2 linked regions of the Sus scrofa genome follow. The protein of the gene in region 1 interacts with the protein of each later gene in a pairwise test. Links are inferred from orthologs where the notes say so. Each region holds a gene or a part of one and is shown on either strand. Other genes may lie near its edges.

Region 1 (4,016 bases):
CCTCCCTTAGTGTCCCTTTGCCTCAACTAGCTCAGGCTTCCACAGACCAGGGAGAGGCTGATCCCCCAGGGAGGGAGCTGGGCCGGCCTCGGGGGCGGTGGGGCAGGGAGGGGGCGGTAACTGTGCCCAGCAGCTCCTGTGCGGCTGGGGTGCCCAAGAAGGTCAAGGGCAGGACCAGAGTTGAAGGGCCTGGGGGCCGTCGTCCCCGTGCTCCTGCCGGGAACTGCCTGCCTCCGTGCCCCCCGCCCGCTCTGGAGAGGTAGGCCGCCAGGAGCTCCGAGGGAGGGACGGTGCTGAGTGCGCTGCGGTGGAGCCCAGAGCTGGGCCGTCAGACAGGTCGTGCTGCTGCTGGGAGGCGGGGTGCTGGCTCCTTTGTGAGATGCGTTTGCCGTGTGTTGGGCTTTATGTGTATGTCTTGAGTTCGGCTTGGGAAGGGAGCAGAAGTCACATGTTGCCGTTGGGTGTCAGGATAAATGTGTCGTTGGCGTGTGGGCGTGTGTGTCGTGTGTTGGTGTGTGTTAGGCCCTGGTGGGTAGTCTTCTGAGGTGTGTTGCATTTTCCCTATCACAGTTGATTTAAGGTGTCCTGTCAGTTTCTGCTGTACAGCAGAGTGACCCAGCCGTTCGTGTGTACACACACATTCTTTCGCTCACGCGATCCTCCATCGCGCTCCACCCCAAGCGGCAGATGCACTTCCCTGTGCTCTACAGCAGACTGATGGCTTTGGACTGTCGATGTGTGTTGGAGGCGTGCGTGTTGGGCTGTGGGAGGGCGTGTTACGGGGCGCAGGCAGACACGCTGTGGTGCTGGCTGTCTCTATCAGGGGTTGTGTGTTTGGGAAGATATATGTGTCGGGCTGTGGGGATGAGGGGTTGGTGTGACGGGGGCTTCTGTGAGTTAGGAATTTCCTGCGGGTTGGGGTACCTGATGTTTCTTTGCCTACTCACTCCACAAATGCTTTTTGAGTGTGAAGCACATGCTGGATAGTCTGCTGGGTGCTGAGAATGGTGAGCAGAAGCGGGCACAGCCCTTACTCTCCTGGAACGAACCCACCGTCCAGTGGGAGAGGAGGAGAGGAGTGGGAACGGGCAGTGTGTCCTGGGTCCGGGTGGACGTGTGTGTGTGTGTGGGTATCCGTGAGGGTGCCGTCTCTGGGAGAAGGCATCTGCGTGTGTATCTGTGAGTGTGTATGGGGAGAGTGCAGCTGCTGGAGACCTGAGGAGGTTGAGGGTACAGGTGTGTGGACGTGGTTTGGGGACACGTGGTTGGGGGAGCTGGGTTGTGAATACATAGCGAGCGTGTGTTGCACATCTGGGAGAGTGGTGCGTACAAGGGATGTGGCAGAGGTGTGTGGAAGAGGGTAAGTAGGGTGTGTGAAGTGAGGGTGCATGGGGGGCTGTGTGCACACGCGTGAACCCGGGGGAGTGAACATGCAGGGGTGTGAGGGCTGGCGGGTTAGGGGTCCGTGTGGCGTGCGTTGGGGGCTGCTGGAGAACAGCAGTGCTTGAGGACTGTGGGAGCTGTGCAGAGCATCTCCTGTGGCCTGAGGATGTGCCAGTCCTGGTACCACTTGGGGTGGGCTCTCTGCCCCTGTACTCCATCCACTCCCCGCAGCCTGGCAGCCCTGGCTTCCGGGCTGGGTCCAGTGGAGAAGGGCCTGGGCACAGGGCCTCTTGAGGAAAAGGGGCGGCCTGGCCTCCAGAGTCCTGCCCTGCTTTTCCTCTTCCTGAGCTGAAGGGTGTCTCAGGAATGCAGGTGGGACACAGGAGTGGGGCTGTTGGTCCAGCTGCCACCTCTTCTTCCTGCTGCCCTGTTAACAAACCCATGGGGGCCTCCACTGCCCTTGTGAATCAAAGCAAAGCTACTGCTGGCAACCTGGAGCCTGCAGGAGGTCTGGCTCTGATAGTGGGGGTGGGGTGGGGAGGTGTTTGCTCAGGGGTGACTCGGGACCCAGACTTTCTGCATCGTGACCCCAACCTCCCATTCGCCTGTGCACTCATGTACACATACACGTGCGTAGCATCCCTCGGCCACTCCCCTCCGGACCTGCTGAACTCTGGTCCCCCAGAGACGGCCGGGTGGCTGGTTTTGGCAGCCTCTCCTCGTGGTGTGTAAAGTTGGGGCCTGGGTGGCAGGTGAGTGGGGGGGAATGGTCCTTGGAGCTGGCCGGGGCTGGGCTTACCAGCTCCACATCCTGCAGGCTCTGAAGCGGAAGCCCGACTTGTTCCTGTGTGAACGCCTGGATGTCAAAGCTGTGTTCCAGTGTGGTAAGTGGGGCCAGGGGCCAGGGGGGCCTGGGGCCCCCTTGGGAGGACGCTCGGGCCCCATCTCATGTGTCTCTGCCTCTCTCGCAGCTGTGCTGGCCCTCAAGTTCCCCGAAGCACCTACTGTCAAGGCCTCCTGTGGCTTCTTTGTGAGTCCCACGCCAACCCTTAACCCCCCGCCACCCCTATACCCAGCCTGCCCTGCCCAGGACTCCAGAAGGTCAGGGTGTGGTGTGCTGGTGTCGTCTCCAGGGAGACAGGGGGAAAGAGCGGGGGCTGACGGGCCTCTCCACCCTCTGTAGACAGAGCTGCTGCCTCGCTGCGGGGAGGTAGAACCTGTGGGGAAGGTGGTACAGGAGGACGGCCGCATGCTGCTCATAGCAGTGCTGGAGGTGAGAGGGAGCAAGCGGGGCACGGAGCGGGGTGGGGCGGCCTTCACTGCGGAGGCAGCTGCCCTCCTGGGGAGCTTGAGCCTCTGGCTCCCTAAACTCTCCGGTCCTGTTGGTTCATCAAGCAAATGGCTGAGAGCTGTTAGGCTGCTGTGAGGATCAGCGGGCTCTTAAAAAGCACGCACTGTTAGGTGCATTGGGCTGAGAACCTGTCAGGGGAGTGGGTGCCTGTGGCTGGGCATCCTTCCTGCAGAAAGGCCAAGGCCCTGGTGTGCTGAGAGCCCATCTCCCTCAGGCCATCGGGGGCCAGGCCTCCCGAAGCCTCATGGACTGCTTTGCCGACATCCTATTTGCTCTGAACAAACACTGCTTCAGCCTCCTGAGTGTGTGGATCAAGGAGGCACTTCAGTCACCTGGCTTTCCCTCTGCCCGCCTCAGCCCTGAACAGAAGGACACCTTCAGCCAACAGATTCTTCGGTGAGCAGAGCTGGCAGGGCCTGGGCTTGAGCCGGCGGGGGGCAGAGGAGGCCAGGGTGGATGTGCTAACTTGCTCTCCCTTTGCTCCTTCAGCGAGCGGGTAAACAAGAGGCGAGTGAAGGAGATGGTGAAGGAATTCACACTTCTGTGCCGGGGGCTGCATGGCACAGATTACACAGCTGACTACTGAGGGGCGCCCCCGTCCCGCCCACACTTCCTCCTTTACCGCTCCCAGCCCCCAAAGAGTAAACCTGAGTCCTCACTGCACTGCTGTCTCCGCTTCCTTTCCACTGCCACTACCCCCTAATGGGGTGACCTTGGAAGACCTGGGGGAAGGATGGGGGGATGCTGGAACCCAGGCCTTGGTAGGGAGTGCTGGGGCCAACCTGTAGCTCCTAGGGTGGAAGGGGCACTGCTCTAGTCAAGCTGCCTAGGCGGGAACCATTCCGAGAACTGCCCTGCCCTTCCGGCAGGTGGGGACTGCAGTGGTGTCCAGTTAAGTTCGTCCCATTATTCACGCATGCACACATTGATGTAATCAACAATGCTGAGTACCAAGCCTCTCATTCTGTCTCAACAAAGGCGACCTAGTCTCAAGCTGAGCTGGGGGAATGGGACCCGTGAGGAGGGCTGCATGGAGCAAGTTTCATTTCTGAAGGGAATAGGTGTTTCCTAGGTGGAGGACTTGGGGCTTTGGGCTGGAAGTGAGATGGGGCAGGTCCACTTGGGAGGGAAGAAATGCGGAGTAGCTTTGAATTCCAGGCTGGGTTTCTTGTGCGGGGTTAGGGAAACACCCAAACTTGCCCTTGGTTGAGGAGGAACAGAGAAAGTGGGACTGAGCCTGTGGGGGAGGATGCACGGCAGCCCCCAGAGGAAGAGGAAGGCA
Region 2 (4,259 bases), on another chromosome or scaffold:
ATCAGGATCTAAATTCTCTGCTCCCACACCTAGCCAGAATTTTAACACAAGCCTCCCATTAGAGGCCAAATTCTTAAACTACTAAAGCATGCATTGCAAAAGAATCAAAAACATGTTAGTCTCTCTATATTAAATGGGGCTGGGTTTCCCTTTAGGAAAACCCCCTGCCCTACAGTAGCTCTGTGAGGAGACAAGAATGAAGTGGGGGGAGTTCCCATCTTGGCTCAGTGGTTAATGAGTCCAACTAGGAAGCATGAGGTTGCGGGTTTGATCCCTGGCCTCACTCAGTGGGTTAAGGTTCTGGCGTTGCTGTGAGCTGTGGTGTAGGTCGCAGACGTGGCTCAGATCCCATGTTGCTATAGCTCTCGTGTAGGCTGGTGGCTACAGCTCCGATTAGACCCTTGGCCTGGGAACCTCCTTATGCCGCAGGTGTGGCCCTAGAAAAGGCAAAAAAAAAAAAAAAAAAAAAAAAGAAAGAAAGAAAAAATGAACTGGGGTACTAGGTTCAAGGTAGGAAGCCTGGCTTCTTGGGCCTGGGCCCTGAATCTCCAGAAGAAATGACCCAGTCCAGCACTTTCCACCACGTGGATGGACACACACCTGTGAAAGACACAGTCCTTGTCTCCATGGAGCTCTGGGCCTGTTGGACAGAAGTATCACTTTGAGTGCCAAGACAGCCAAGCACTTCCTATGGGGTGGGAGCCCCATGGTCTTCAAAGCTTACCTGTTTCACCTTCTCTGAGTTGGCTGCTCTTGCATCAGAATCTTTGAACCTGAACTCCCCTGGTTTCCTTTGAGATCTTGTCCCATCAGTTTTTTTCTTCTCTTGTAGGTCTCTCCTGTCCACCAGATGACTTCAAGTTTTTGTCTCATATAGTCCCTGAAGCTTTCAACCTCTCCTCCAACCACTGTTCTGTGACAGATGCTAAAATTATCTACTACTTTTCAGGCCTCCTGTGTGGTCCTGCACTAGTGGCTGACCTTTTGTACAAGGTACCAGCTCTCCATGCTCCCCACATGTTCGAGTACTTCATGTCACTGGGGCCAAGTGTCCGGTTTCCTTTATTAGGGAGCTTACTGTATTGTTCTTATACTAGCCCACATCAGTCATTTCTAGTCCCTTTGGAGTGCCCAAATCCAGTCATACCGTTTGGAGTTTGCATTTCCTCTCCAACAGCAATGGGAAGAATATGGACCCTGTCTTGAAGGGTTCCCAGGAAGTTGAGGTCCTTTTATGAGCCTGCATCTGGACTCTGTCTTCAGAGCAGATAGGCTCTAGGAGGTCCTGTGTCTTTGGAGAAATGATTTATGCCCGATCTGTTCCTTTTCTCTTGCACAAGAATCCTTCCCTGATGCCAGAAGTCCTAACAACTAAAAACAAAGGCCTGTGAAGATTCCCTCTGATTTGGGGTACATCCAAGTGTAGGTCATCAGAAAGCATCCTTCATGTGCTAGTAGAATATGCTGTAGAGCAAAAGAATGAACAAATAAGTGAGGTCATTCTTAAGCTGGACCTTGGAAAATGAATAGAATTGACTTTTGCAGCTGAGAACATGACTCAGTTCTAACCTCCCAGTCACCTTCATCATACCCGTTCCCATGCCCACCCCCAACCAATGGAAAATGGAACACTAGGGGCAGGGGAGGGGGAGCTAGGAGGCCAGGAGCCCAAGTCACCCACCTGACGGGACTGAGGCTGAGGGGAGCATTAGCTGACTGAGGAGGTATCTGGGGCTCAGGGCTTCCGAAGATGAATGAGGGGTGTTGATGGGGCTCTGAGAGGAATGGCGGGTGCAGTCTGAGAAGGAAGGGGTGTCTTGGAGGAAGAGGGGTGGCCTGAGAAGTTAAGACTCTAAGATGTGCAGATCCGTGAGGAGTGAGGTGCTCTGAGACATGGCAGCCTGTGAGGAAGAGTTGGGGGAGAGAGGCGCCCTGAGAAGTGAGGTCCCCAAGGAGTAGGGGCTCTGAGGAGAGTTGAGGGCCTCTAGGATGTTGGGGCTCTCTGGGAAAGGAGGGCTCTCAGGAGCTGCGGGGGTTGTGAGAAGTGTCTCTGAGCAGGAATGGTTGCTCTGAGGGAGTATAGGAGGCAGAGATGTGGGAAGTGGGGGGGGTCTCTGAGGAAGAGCAAAGCCAACGTTGCGCTCTCGGGGCCTGGAGGAAGGTGGGAGTGGAAAGCGTCGTTGCCTTGGCAACCCCCCAAAAATGTCCTGGGTGGTTGAGAGGGGCAGTTAGGGGAGTACTCGTGCGCGGGGCGCGACGGCTTGGCCCGCGGCTGTTGGCTGGCGGCGATGGTAGGGCGGGTCCCTGGGGTGGGGCGCCGTCGCCGGGCTGGCTGCGGTTGGCTGGAGGCGGCGGTGGGCGGGGCCTAAGCCCGCGCGCGCGGCTCACAGACTGCAGCAGTTGGTTAGGGCGCCCGCGCGAGCTCTCTAACCTCGGCGGCTACTGGTTAGGTGCCGGCCCGGCCCCGCAGCTCATGGACGCCCAGCAGCACCCCTCGCACCCCCCGCCGCCGCCCTCCGCCCCGCGCCGCCCGCCGCCCTCGCCCCCGCCGGACTCCGACACGGCCGATGTCCTGCAACAGATCATGGCCATCACCGACCAGAGCCTGGACGAGGCGCAGGCCAGGTGCTGCGCGGGCTGGGCGGGAGTCACCTAAAGTCGCTTATTGAGGGGGCGGGCGGAAGGGCCAGGGCTGGGATGGCTGGGGCCGTGAGGGGTGAGGAGGGTGCAGGGTGAGAGATGGGGTGAGTCTCTGGGCGTAGAGAGGGAGGGCACATGTGGAGGGGGGAGGGCTTGAGGAGGACGGAAAGGTCCTTTGGCTCTGAGGCCAAAGGGATGTACCCGGTTAAAATGAAACGGATTGAAAGGGAGCTTATGGAGCTAAGCAGTGGGTGATGGGTTTTAGGCGTTTGTCTTGGGGCGAGGGGGAGTTTGTGGATGGAAAGTTTATGGAATGTAAGGGGGAAGAGGAGTGTTGGGGAGGGAGTGTTAGGGCTAAGAAATGGGCGCACATGCGATTTGTGAAGGATGAACGAGGAAATGGATCAGTGGGATTTATGAGGATGGAAAGTTTGGGAGGGTAGGTAATGGAGAATGAGTTGTGGGAAATGGGATTCAGGAATGAAGAGATGAGGTGATTTGGTGTGGGAACCACCCAAAACAAAAGGTTAGTGGGGGAAATGGAGGACCCCTTTTTTTTTTATTAATTTGGCAAATATTAATTAGACCCTAAGTGCAGGGCACCAAGCTGGATGCTGACATAGTCACTGCTCTCAAGCTCATGGTTTGAGGAAGAAAAAGTAAGTAGCAAAAATAAGTGTAAGTTGTGAGAACAGCTTTAAGTAAAGGGATGGTAAGCTGTAGGAAGCCAGGTGGAGAGGGCACAGCACCTTCAGAGAGGCGCCAAGGTGGGAAGGGCAGAAAGAAAGGAGAGCCAAGGGACAGAAAGTCCTGTAGAGTGGAGAGAGTCTGGAACTGAATCACATGGAGCCTGCAAGTCTCAGGAAAGGGTTTGGATTTTATTTCAGTTGCAGTGGGAAAAACAGGGGTTTTAAGACCACCTGTCTCACTGACCCCCACCCACCACTTGTTAGTGAGCCAGGATTAGTAGAATGGGCTTCACAGAGCACCCCACTGTGCTTGGAACCTGTTTGAATTATTAGAAAGAAAGAAAGCACTGAATGACCTCCTTTTGGAGGACAAGGCCTTGTGGAATGGGACCTGTTTGGGTGTAAGGGATGATCCAGGTAGATGGGACTAGGGTCTGATGGTGTGGACTATGCCTCTTAGAAACTTCTAGTGAGGAGGGCTTGCAAAGCCAGGTGAACAGCAGCCCCAAAAAAAGGAGGAGGCAAAGTAAAATCTGTATATGACCTGCATTCATTCTTCAAACACTCTTTCCTTTGCTTCTTGTGGAATGTCAACTATTTCTGTAGTTTTATGGCCTCTCTCTGGAAAGTTAAGAGTGTCACACCCCCACCCCCATCCCCACCCTCACCCCCACTAGAGCATGGTGCTGGGTGCTGCTACAGAAACCAAGATGGCTAAGATATTCTCTGCCCTCTCAGAGCACATTCAGAAGTAACTCAGGGTGTGTGGGAGACTAACTTATAAGTAATTTTCATAATAGGTGCACTGGGAAGTTCCCGTCATGGCTCAGCAGTAATGAACCCAACTAGCATCCATGAGGATGTAGGTTCAATCCCTGGCCTCACTCAGTGGGTTAAAGATTTGGCGTTGCCATGAGCTGTGATGTAGGT

Evidence for each region.
Region 2: the proteins of IPO13 (region 1) and PBX4 interact in binary tests that used the Homo sapiens proteins (3 or more experiments, as listed by UniProt). The link is inferred for Sus scrofa from reciprocal best matches to the Homo sapiens genes IPO13 and PBX4.

What each region holds. Positions count from the first base shown.
Region 1 is NC_010448.4:167,326,968-167,330,983, reverse strand, and holds the end of IPO13 (importin-13), read left to right. Parts: intron 1-2,200; coding exon 2,201-2,267; intron 2,268-2,354; coding exon 2,355-2,413; intron 2,414-2,566; coding exon 2,567-2,656; intron 2,657-2,948; coding exon 2,949-3,130; intron 3,131-3,223; coding exon 3,224-3,320; 3' UTR 3,321-3,397; downstream 3,398-4,016. UniProt on the Homo sapiens protein: Functions in nuclear protein import as nuclear transport receptor. Serves as receptor for nuclear localization signals (NLS) in cargo substrates.
Region 2 is NC_010444.4:58,301,608-58,305,866, forward strand, and holds the start of PBX4 (pre-B-cell leukemia transcription factor 4), read left to right. Parts: upstream 1-1,458; 5' UTR 1,459-2,092; coding exon 2,093-2,625; intron 2,626-4,259.